3 linked regions of the Sus scrofa genome follow. The protein of the gene in region 3 interacts with the protein of the main gene of each other region in a pairwise test. Links are inferred from orthologs where the notes say so. Each region holds a gene or a part of one and is shown on either strand. Other genes may lie near its edges.

The links.
Region 1: the proteins of CUL5 (region 3) and ELOA come close enough for resonance energy transfer, tested with the Homo sapiens proteins (3 studies listed by BioGRID). The link is inferred for Sus scrofa from reciprocal best matches to the Homo sapiens genes CUL5 and ELOA.
Region 2: the proteins of CUL5 (region 3) and CCNDBP1 interact in binary tests that used the Homo sapiens proteins (3 or more experiments, as listed by UniProt). The two-hybrid records come from large-scale screens. The link is inferred for Sus scrofa from reciprocal best matches to the Homo sapiens genes CUL5 and CCNDBP1.

What each region holds. Positions count from the first base shown.
Region 1 is NC_010448.4:81,574,688-81,578,337, reverse strand, and holds part of ELOA (elongin-A), read right to left. Parts: intron 3,532-3,650; coding exon 3,417-3,531; intron 2,641-3,416; coding exon 2,485-2,640; intron 2,384-2,484; coding exon 2,286-2,383; intron 1,419-2,285; coding exon 1,238-1,418; intron 935-1,237; coding exon 823-934; intron 248-822; coding exon 66-247; intron 1-65. UniProt on the Homo sapiens protein: SIII, also known as elongin, is a general transcription elongation factor that increases the RNA polymerase II transcription elongation past template-encoded arresting sites.
Region 2 is NC_010443.5:128,262,983-128,266,632, forward strand, and holds part of CCNDBP1 (cyclin-D1-binding protein 1), read right to left. Parts: intron 1,156-3,650; coding exon 1,074-1,155; intron 116-1,073; coding exon 19-115; intron 1-18. UniProt on the Homo sapiens protein: May negatively regulate cell cycle progression. May act at least in part via inhibition of the cyclin-D1/CDK4 complex, thereby preventing phosphorylation of RB1 and blocking E2F-dependent transcription.
Region 3 is NC_010451.4:36,418,526-36,422,612, reverse strand, and holds the start of CUL5 (cullin-5), read right to left. Parts: upstream 2,808-4,087; 5' UTR 2,315-2,807; coding exon 2,291-2,314; intron 1-2,290. UniProt on the Homo sapiens protein: Core component of multiple cullin-5-RING E3 ubiquitin-protein ligase complexes (ECS complexes, also named CRL5 complexes), which mediate the ubiquitination and subsequent proteasomal degradation of target proteins.

The sequences.
Region 1 (3,650 bases), on a different chromosome or scaffold from region 3:
AATGGCATTAAAGGGGTGCAAATACTAGTTTTGAAATACCTGAGCAGGAGCCCCAAGTTACTTACTCTTCACAGTCGGTTTCCTAGGGTCATAGGAAACAGTGTTGCTGATCATAGGTGCAGAGTGGACACCGCTTGTGCTCGGGCCGTCATAGGCTGGCTCCTCCGGGCTAGCGTTAAAGCTGTTGCTGCTGCCACTGCTGAAGGGTGCACGGCTGCTTCCTGCAGGGTACGGTGCCGGCTTGATCCTGGGACACAAAGCAAAGCTGCTAGTCAAGAGTAAGAGAGGTCTGCCCTTGGTACCAAGAGCCTGAAGCTGGCTGGTCCGAGGACTCAGGTCTGTGGCCTGGACCAATGGACCTAGTACCTTCGATTATGCTGATGGCTTGGAAGTGACAATGGTAACAGCCCTTTAGAATGAATGATGATCTCAAATGACTTTTCAGTGTTTAGGTGTAAATCTGTATTTTGAAAATGCCAGTGTACTTAGATAGCTGTGTCATCGTGGTAACATTTTTACTGTTTCAATGGGGGAAGGGAAAGCATTAGAGGATGTTTCCCAGTAGCCAGGCCCTTTTCTCCATTTAATTATGACCCCTTAAGGGGCAGGAATTATTATCTGGCCCACAATGCAGTCAAGGAAGCTGAGGCTCAGGGAGGTCAAGTGCCCAGCTGGTTAAGGTCAGCCTCCAGAACCCACTCTGCAAGGCCATGCTTTCACCCCCAAATTGCTTCCTGTCCCCAGGCTGCCCCTTCAGGCTAAATGACAAGATCCTGGGCTCTCTCCCTGAGCAGGAAGGAACCACAGGAGCAGAGGTCTTACCGGATTTTCTCAGGCACAGCTGCTCCTCCTGTTCCAAACTTCTCTTGCCTCCTTCGAACATCACGAGGTGGTTTGGCCACAGAGTTGACAAAGGCCATTTTTGCTTGTCGGCCTGTGGAGAAATGGAGGTTAACACCGGCCTTCTTCAGCTGAGATGCTACTGTTATTTCAATAATCTATGCTATCAAAAGATAAAGGTTTTGCAAATCCCTCCAGAGGTATGGGATTATCAACCCTGGAAGCCCCTCTCTAGGGCAGCATGGGCGGTGGTGGAAGAAGCATGCCACCTCTGCCCTCTTCCGCAAACGCAAGAGATCCAGGGTTCAGAGATTCTACCTCAGCCAAGCCCACCAAAGCCCTGCTGTCGATCAGAACACGGGCTCACTGCTCTGCTAGACTCATCCTGCCCCCTTACCTTTGGGCTTATTGGCGTGTGCAGATCGGATATTCTTTGTGAGGACTCGTAGCCGCTGCTCTCGGGCATCCTGAAGCCGTAGGTACATTTCCCGCCACGACTCATACTCTTCTGGCCTTTCATCCTTAAAGTCTCGGTGACAATGGACTTTCCATAATTGATCTGTTTCTTCAATTAATACCTAAAATCAAAACCAGGATGTCATTTACATGCAAGCACTCTTATACATCTCTTTTCCATCCTTAATCACCCAGGGGTGACAGGTTCCTAATGATGTTTTGGTCCTCATAATAGTAGTAATATATTAAAATACCACAGTTCTAGGAAAAAACCCAAATCACTGAATTAAAAAAATGTTAAGTGTAAGGCACTATACTAGCTGCTTTGGGGGGTTGTGGGGCTAGGAAAGAAGACAATACAAAAATTAGTTTAAGATCAGTCTTTCTCCTTTAGATAATCAGTGCAGGGCATGACCTGGGATGAAGTCAAATCCAGCCATTTCCCCAGCACTACACTAAACTGCAATGGCCAGGGGCCACCTAAGAAGGATATGTTATAGATCCCTCAGAATTAAAAAGAGTGGATGCAATCAAATGAGCATCTTCAGCATCAGGAAGATTTGGGGGGTAAATCTGCTGGTCTCTAGGAGACACCCAGCCAATCTGTGCTCTTACATTCACCAGACATCTGGGGGTCAACAAAGAGCTCTGTCCCTGCCTGGCATCCCAGGGGCTGTGCTGCCAGAATTCTCTCTTGACTTCCTAAACGAGGCAAGCTCAAGGGAGGTATGGGAAGTGGTCTCTGCCTTCCCATGGAGCCCTAGCTACACTCCTACTACCTTTTAATCCTACCTTGATGCTAGCCCAAGAGGCTCACTTAACATGCCAGAAGCAGGTGCTAAAAATAAGCTGTTTAAAGGCCCAGAGGCAAACTCAGAACAGTGATCTGACCACCACCTGCCCATCACTGTGGCCGATTCAGAGACAAAGCTATTTCTGGAGATACAAGCCAGAAAACTGCCCTCTTCCCATGCAAACAGGATACTCACATGATTGTATTCCTCTATGCGATACAACTGATCAGGTGTACACCTCTCTAGAACAGGTTCAAGAACAGAATACGGGACGCCTCCCACTTCAAAGATTGCTGCAAAGAATCAAAGGAGAAAAGCACTGAGTAGCGGCCAAGTCACCGGTGTTCCAGTGCCACAACGTGCTTACGAGCCAAGGGAGAAGCATGGGACTTACAGTCGATGTTGTTTTTAAGTACTCGGATGCACTGCTCATGCAAGGTCATCATCTTGGGAAGATAGGCACACTTGGAACCAGAATATACTTGCATCTTAGAATTCATTCTTCGTCCCGTGAATCCAGCTTCTTCCTCTTCCTGGGGTGAGGAGAATGCTGTGGTATGAGGAAAGCAGGAATGTAAGTTTAAAAAGGCACTGAGTTATCTAGTGAAAACTCTCCTTCCCATCCCATTCCTCAGCCTCCCAGTTTCCTTTCTCAAAGGCAACCAATGCTATCAGCTTCTTGTGTATCCTTCCAGGGAGTCTATACAAAAATAAGCTAATATTTTACTCCTTTTTAACCAATTAATATACTATCATCATTTTGTCATTTACATTTTAGAAATGACTCCACATCAGTATATAGACTTTCCACTTTTTTTTTGGGCCACACCCATGGCATATGGAAGCTTCCTGGCCAGGGATCGAACCCTTGCCCACAGCAGGGACCCCAGCTGCTACAGTGATAATGCTGGATCTTTAACCTGCTGCACTGCAAGGGAACTCCCTAGACTTCTTTTTAAGCCCCTGGAGAATGTACAGAATAAAGGGATCTTAGTAAAAGGAACAGTTAAGATCAGTGAACACTTACTCTGTGGAAAAACCCAGAGCTCAGAGCGTTACTGGTATTATCACTTTCAATCCACCTAATAGGCAGATACATTAATCCCATTTACAGACTAGGAAACTGAAGTCCAAGGAAGTTGTTATGACCCCATTTCACATAACTTCTAGTAGAATTCAGAGCTGGGAATTCAAACCCAAGAACTCCAGAACCTGTGTTCTTAGGAAATGTACCAAAATCTGATGACAGATCATGAATGAATTTTTAAGATCCTACTTCCATCAAAACCAAAAAAAAAAAAACAAGAAGAAGATACAGAAAATTACCTCTTCGCTTTGGTTGAAAGGAAGATATCAAGTCAAGGGGAGGAAGCGGACGGTAATTGGCCTGTATCACAGGTAATGGAAGGTCTGGTAACACTGGCAACACCTCACTGGGGACCTGCAGAGAAAAGACAAGTGACTGGAGGGCCCCTTCCCAAGCACAGCTCTTTCCTACAGTCAATGCCCAGCAATGCTCACAGGGCAGATAACTGCCCAGGCAGACCCAGCCTGGAGAAG
Region 2 (3,650 bases), on a different chromosome or scaffold from region 3:
AAACCGTGGCATCACTACCTCTGCGTTGGAGTGACGTAGAGCATTTCCACAAGCTGAGCCATGCCATCCACAATGTCAAGAGTGGCACTCCTTACCAGCTTTCTCAAGGTGGTTCCTGCAGCCAAAACCAATGACTAAGCAGCCTGGCCTTCTTTCCAGAAGTCACCATCTGCTTTCCTGAGAGTCTAAGTCCTATAGCATTTGAGGTAATGTGCACCCACATGCTTTAACTGGAGTGCCAACCCAAAACTCACGTTTTATTTATATCCCAATGTCATTTTCTTGCTCCTCCCACCATTCCTTACTGGTATTTTCCAAAAGAGATCTGAAACAAGATCTTTCCATGGCAGCATGTACTCAATCATTAAAAACAGTGGTTCCTTGACAATTGTGGATAAAACACTTCAAGTTTAAAAAATGTGAGTAGCCCTGAAGATCCATGAGACATGTACTCAATTTATAATCGTGGCATGAGGATATTGGCAACATCTCTGAAGCACTGGGACACAGGTTTGACCCCCAGCCAGTACAGCTGGTTAAGGATTTGGCATTGCCACAGCTGCAGCATAGGTCACAACTGCAGCTTGGATCTGATCCCTGGCCCAGGAATTCTATATGTCACAGGGCAACAAAAAGGAAAAATAGTAATTGCAGCATGATTATAATGAAGGCATGAATATACAGGGGAGGCTGGAGACCTCTTAACTTATAAAGGAGATAGAAATAGGATGTGATGTAATATGGGTGGAGAAGCCCGGGGATGGCTGTGGCCTGGGTATGCCTAATATCCAGCCAGCATCTGTGGTGGTTATAACAGGTTGGAGAGAGAGGAGCCTGTGAGAATTAAAAACCTTAGAATCAGGGTAGATGGGAAGAGACCATCTGTATCTTAGCACAAAGGCTTACTTATGAGATCACTTATGTCATAAATTTAAACTTTGATTGAATTTTATGGGAGAAAGTTATATCACATGACCAAATTGCGGTAAAGGTACAAGTGTCAGGACATAAGCTATCATATTAGCAAACATCTATCCCATAAACCAAATGCTCACGTCTGTAGAGAGGCTTACCCTGATCCTTGGGAAGCGAATAGTATGCTGCAATAATTGCCTTGATGGCAGCATGGACTTGTTCACAGAATCTCTGGGTTTCCTAGGAGGTGATGAACCAATTTCAGAATGAAAAAGGGAAATGAATTAGATCATGGTGGTCAGCCCATCTACCGTGGAAGAGCACAAACATCTGTATAGCATCATGAAACATTTTCTGAAGTCCTATTATAAGTTAGGCCTTGTGCTATTCTCATCACATACCAGAGAGGAGTTCGCTGAACACCAGTTACTGAGGTGACAACTCAATAAGACATTAAGAAAGAGCAGGAAAAACTTATTCCTGATACTCTATATCCCAAGATACTCATGATCTGCTTTAAGATAGTCACTGTATCTTAGACCTGGAGTTGGTAAATTAGGGCCCTTGGGCCCAATCAGGTATACTGCCAGTTTCGTAAATAAACTTTTACTGGGACACAACCACACTCTTTCATTTACATACTGTCTATAGTTGTTGTACTATAAGGGCAGTGTCGAGTTCTTAGCCTGCATAGCCTAAAATGTTTACTATCCAGCCCTTTATGGAAGAAGTCTGCCAACCCTATCTTAGATGGTTAAGCAGTTATCTGTCTCTCTGCCTCTTTGTCTTTGTCTGTCTGATCCTAATAGAATCTCAATATATCTAAAGGTCATTAGCATGGATTCTACAATGCTCAGTTTTGACTATTTTCCTCCTATGCAGACATTGGCTTTCTCTTATCTTCCTTGTCCTCATTTCTCTGCTAAATTCTAAGCCAGTGCTATGCAAAATAGGCTCCACGGATTGATGCCAGTCCATAAATGGTCTGTTACCAGTCTGGGATGGGTAAGTACAATGATTCAGAGTATTTAGAAACTTTTATGGCAACTTGACATTGCTTCAACATCCAAACCATAATTTCATAAAAATACCATTCCGTATGGACTGGAATTAACAAAACCATTCTTCAATGGAACTAACCTGCCAAAATCCTAAGAAAACAATTATGATTCAAATAAAATCATATTCTAATTTTTCATCTGTGAGTAAAAAAAACACTGGCCTGAGCATGTACAGAAAAATAGTTCTGTTCTACCTCCTCGTGGAATCTTACTAGCTGTGAATTTTAGCAACAAGTCCTAAGTGTATTTGAAAGAAAGGACTCTCAGTAGATAAGAAAAATAAGGTAATATTACTACTCCCTTTGAAATAAAGATTAACTTTCTTCCACAATGCTTTTAAAGTACTCTCATACAATTCTCATTTTCAACACAAATCTCTGAGATATGTAAGGAGAGAGAGTTTATTACTATAGGTGCAGCAAAATAATATTTTTTTCCTTTTTTTGCTGAAGAAATCAATTTTTTTATTGGCTTACAATGTTGTGTTAGTTTCAGGTGTACAGTTAAATGACTCAGCTTTATACACACGCACACACATATACATATGAAGAGGGGATGGAGATATAAACTTTTTAACACATTTAACTTTGATATGTTTTGACTTTTATATTGATACATGATTACTAATATAAAAAGAAAAAATATGTAAAAATAATTCCATATAAAAAGAGTACTAGAGTTCTCGTCATGGCTCAGAGGAAACGAATCTGACTAGGAACGATGAGATTGCAGGTTTGATCCCTGGCCTCGCTCAGTGGGTTAAGGATCCAGTGTTGCCGTGAGCTGTGGTGCAGGCCAGCAGCTACAGCTCCAATGTGACTCCTAGCCTGAAAACCTCCATATGCCACAGATGCAGCCCTAAAGAGACAAAAAAAAAAAAAAAAAAAAAAAAAAAAATGGAGTTCCCGTTGTGGCACAGTGGTTAACGAATCCGACTAGGAACCATGAGGTTGTGGGTTTACTCCCTGGCCTTGCTCAGTGGGTTAAGGATCCAGCGTTGCTGTGAGCTGTGGTGTGGGTCGCAGACACAGCTCTGATCCCACATTGCTGTGGCTCTGGCGTAGACCGGTAGCTACAGCTCTGATTCGACCCCTAGCCTGGGAACCTCCATATGCCACGGGAGCGGCTCAATAAAAGGCAAAAAGACAAAAAAAAAAAAAAAAAAAAAAAAAAACAAGACAAAAAATATATATACTTTTGCAAATGGCATTATTTCATTTTTTTTATGGATGCCATTTGCAGCAACATGGATGAACCTATCATACTAAATGAAGTTAGACAGTGAAAGGCAAACATCATATTATATCACTTATAAATGGAATCAAAAAAAAGGATGCAAATGAACTTATTCATAGAACAGAAGCTGACTCTCAGACTGAAAAAAAGTCTGGGAGAATGGACTGGGGGTTTGGGATTGACATATTCACAGTGAGATATATGGAATGACTGGCAACAGACTTGCTGTATAGCACACAGAATTCTACCCAATATTCGGTGATAATCTGTGGAAAAAGAATCTGAAAGAGAATGAGTGTGTGTACATGCATAATTGAATCACTTTGTTGTACTACGGAAATTATCAAAACACTGTAAATCAACTGTACTTCAATAAAATCTTTAAAAATGAAAAAAAAATTTTTCATTTCAAAATATCTAGATATACAGACTAAGAGA
Region 3 (4,087 bases):
GAAATTCTTTTTCCCTCTTTTCAACATTTCATTAATTTGTTGAAATTTTGTCAAGTGTATCGTTGACATCTCTTCATGTTCACTAGAGCAACGTTTACCAATTTTGTCAAAGTATTATCACTTTACTTTTTTGATAAAAGTTGTTTGAGTTACAGAATTTTTTGATTTTTTTATGAGCTTTTTTAACCTAACTCCTAAGTGCCTATTTCTATACATTCAGGCAATTTTTTCATCTATAAGTAAGTGTGTGCTGTAGAAGTAGATTCATAATCTCTGCAAGGTAACCACTTAATAGTAATCGGAGTTCCCGTCGTGGCGCAGTGGTTAACGAATCCGATTAGGAACCATGAGGTTGCGGGTTCGGTTCCTGCCCTTGCTCAGTGGGTTAAGGATCCGGCATTGCCATGAGCTGTGGTGTAGGTTGCAGACGTGGCTCGGATCTCGCGTTGCTGTGGCTCTGGTGTAGGCCGGTGGCTACAGCTCCGATTGGACCCCTAGCCTGGGAACCTCCATATGCCGCAGGAGCGGCCCAAGAAGTAGCAAAAAGACCAAAAAAAAAAAAAAAAATAGTAATGAATGAAGTAGCTTCAGACTTACATGTCCTCCAAATAATCCTTTTTAAGGCTTTGTATGGAGTAGAACAGAATAAAGTGACTTGCTCTTTTCTGAGAGGTAATTCTGCGGGGGGAAGACCTTGTTTTACAGCAACAAGTCAAAAATTCACAAAGAGGAGTTCTCCTGTGGTGCAGCAGGTTAAGCATTGTCAGTGAAGCAGCATGGGTGGCTGCTGTGGTGTGGGTTTGATTCCTGGCCCAGGAACTTCCACATGACATGGCCAAAAAGAAAAAGAAAAATCACAAAGAATGAGGTATCGAATTACTTCTTGAACACATTTCAATTAACAATGCAATTGTTTTCTATGCATTAACAAGAGTCTTCAGAACTTAAACAAGTTTTCTTTCAGAATTAATATATTAGAACTTTGCTGTACTCTCATAAAAGGGTAGAGTAGAATAGGTTACTCAATTCCCATGAACTTGTTTTCTTAGAGAAACAGCAGAAATAGTAACTCCAGTAATTTATGTGTATTGTGTACTAATTAAATGCTAGACATTGTTTTAAGATTTTTACATTATTAACTCAATTTTCACAATGCTTCTATTGAAGTGAGCTATTGACAATTCCATTGTATTGATGAAAAAACTCCCGCACAGAGAGGTTTAGAAACTTCCCCAAAGTCATATAGCTTCTAAGTGGCAGAAATTCAGTCTAGTTCTAGGTCCTCCCCTTTTAAAAGAAGATACATTGCCTCTTAAATCTGTAAGTTAGGTCTACATTTTATAAGACAGTCTCATCTATTAGACAGTTAATATTAGTAGTCTAAAGAGAACATGAATGGTTACAGTAATTTTATATCTGCCACTCTATTATTTTGTTATCCATCCACAGTCTGAAGGCATGATAGGTTTGACGGAGGAGTTCAGCCTTTGCACTGTGTTCCCTAAGTTCATCACTACCCCCAATTCAGTCAATACTTTTAAAGCAAAAGGTTCCTACTACAAACACCGCATAGAAGAAACTAGTGTTATGCCTTCTTCCTTCTCCTCCAAACTTTGTAAATGATGGTAGACCTGCCCCTCTGGCCCTAGATCTCCCTCTCTATCCCAAATATAGAAAACTAACTTTAACCGTTTTCTTTCATAAGGCAAGTTTCCCAAGCCCTAAAACGATGGCAGTGCTTCCTCAGCAGTACTGGGGTTGAGGAACAGAGTCCTAAAACATGAACTCGAGAAAGGGAGAAAGGGAGGGAAGGTGCGGCGTGCAGGAAAGGGAGGGAGCAGGGCGGCGGGCACTGCCCTGGGTCTTGGAATTTCGTGCAGACAGGAGAACAGAAATTGAGGAGGTGGGGGTCGAGGCATTAAAACCAGTTCGGCCACATTTTCCTGGATCTTCCTTTTATGCGTCCTGGACTCTCGCTTCAGAAGAACCGAGACCCTGGGAACGCCACCTGGCCGAGCCGTCCGGGCACAGCACTGTCCTCCGGGGTCCCGAAGGCACGGCCCCCAGCCCGCCGCCGCCTCACAGCCGCCGACCCGCGGGCGGACGACCGGCCTCCCGACCCCAAGGCCGAAGACCTAAGTCTGGCCCTCGGCGGCAGCCTCCCGACGTCCCTTCCCGCAGACAACTCCCGAACATTCGCACACTTCGCCGCGGAACCTAAGCCAAGCCCTTCCCTCAGAGCTGAACCAGCAGCCCCGGAGTAAAAACCAAGCCGGACGGAGGATCTTACCTTTAACAGATTAGACGTCGCCATGTTCCTTCAACTTGGACTCTCGCGAGACGGCGCGAGACTTGGCGGCGCTCCGGGTCAGGCCGCGACTGCAGGCCGGGCTCCCACCTGGGCCAGCGGCCCGCGAGGCGGTGGGTGCCAGGCGGCGTGCCGACCGCGCCGACCTCCCCTCAGGCAGCTGGAGCTTCCTCCCGCTTTCCCCTACATGGTCACCGGAGCTTCCCCGCACGAAAGAGCGCATGCAAACGCCCCGGGAGCCGCAAACGGCGAAGGGTGAGACGGTAACCGGAGCCGACCTGAATTGGAAGAGGAAGCATCGACCCCACAACCCTACCCCCTCCTTCGGATTAGCTTTTGTGGTTGCACCGCAGAGGCCCCCGGCAACGAATTTAGCTCGGCTTAGGCCCGGCAGCTCAGGGTCGGTGGCCGCATCACGTGACGCGGCGGGCGGGGGCGCGCTCGGGAGCGAGCTGTGGAGCCTGGACGCCTCGGTGGGCAGAGAGGCTGCGGGGAGGGCGCGCGCGCCCCCTGCTGGCAGGACTGAACGTCTTCCCTCCTTTCCGGCCTCCGGGGTTCCGGGGAACAGCCAATGAAACGCTTATAATGGGTGTCTCCAGTAGAACTGGCACCCAGTAAATATGTATTTGCGTGAGTGAACGAATACACACACGTATTAACTATTAATATTTCTACTCAAGAGTGCCTGGCACTGAAATACTCGATAAGAGTTTGTTCAGGTAATGCATAACAACCTTGGATTACCTGAAGACACAGTAAAGATATTAAACCATAAGCTCATAAGCTTTATCCCTTCAAACCTCAAACTACTGGCCAAAGAAAAAGAATATCATTTACATGTGGAATCTAGAATATCTATCTATCTATATATATATTTTTTTGGAGGGGGGCTGTTTTAGGGCCACACTCAGGGCATATGAGGGTTCCCAGGCTAGGGGTGGAATCAGAGCTACAGCTGCCAGCCTATGCCACAGCCATAGCATTGCCAGATCTGAGCCTAATTTATGACCTACATCACAGTTCACAGCAAAGCCAGATCCTTAATACACTGAGCCAGGCCAGGGATAGAACCTGCATCCTAGTTGGTTCATTAACTGCTGAGCCAGAGGAAACTCCTAGAATATTTTATTATACATGTTTCCAAGCAGTATTCATTCATACATTCATAATACATTAGAAGTAAATAAGAGCTATAGAGTAAAATAAAGCAGGGAAGGGGGCTGAAGCTTGGAATTTATTTTATTTTATTTTTGTCTTTTTAGGGCCACACCCAGTGGCATGTGGAAGTTCCCAGGCTAGGGATCAAATCGAAACTGTAGCTACCAGCCCACACCACTGCCACAGCAATGCTGAATCCCAGCTTTGTCTGCGAACTGCATCACAGCTTATGGCAATGCCAGATCCTTAACCCACTGAGCAAGGCCAGGGATCGAACCCTCACCATGGATACTAATTGGATTCATTACCACTGAGCCATGATGAGGACTCCCTGAAGCTTGCAATTTAAATAGAGGGATCTAAGTAGGGCTCACAGAGAAGATCGCATTTGAACAAAGTACTGAAAGAGAGAGGGAGCAGGCCAGGACATATGTGGGAGGAGAGCATTCCAGACAGGGATGCACAGGGGCAAGTTGCCCAGAGTGTCAGAGGAACAGTAAGAAAGTTGGTGTATTCAGAGCAGGGAGATTAAGGGGAGCATAAGGCCTTATAGGGCCTTGTAGACCACTGGAAAGACTGACTTTTATTCTAAGATGTGCGACCATTGCCAGCTTTTGAACA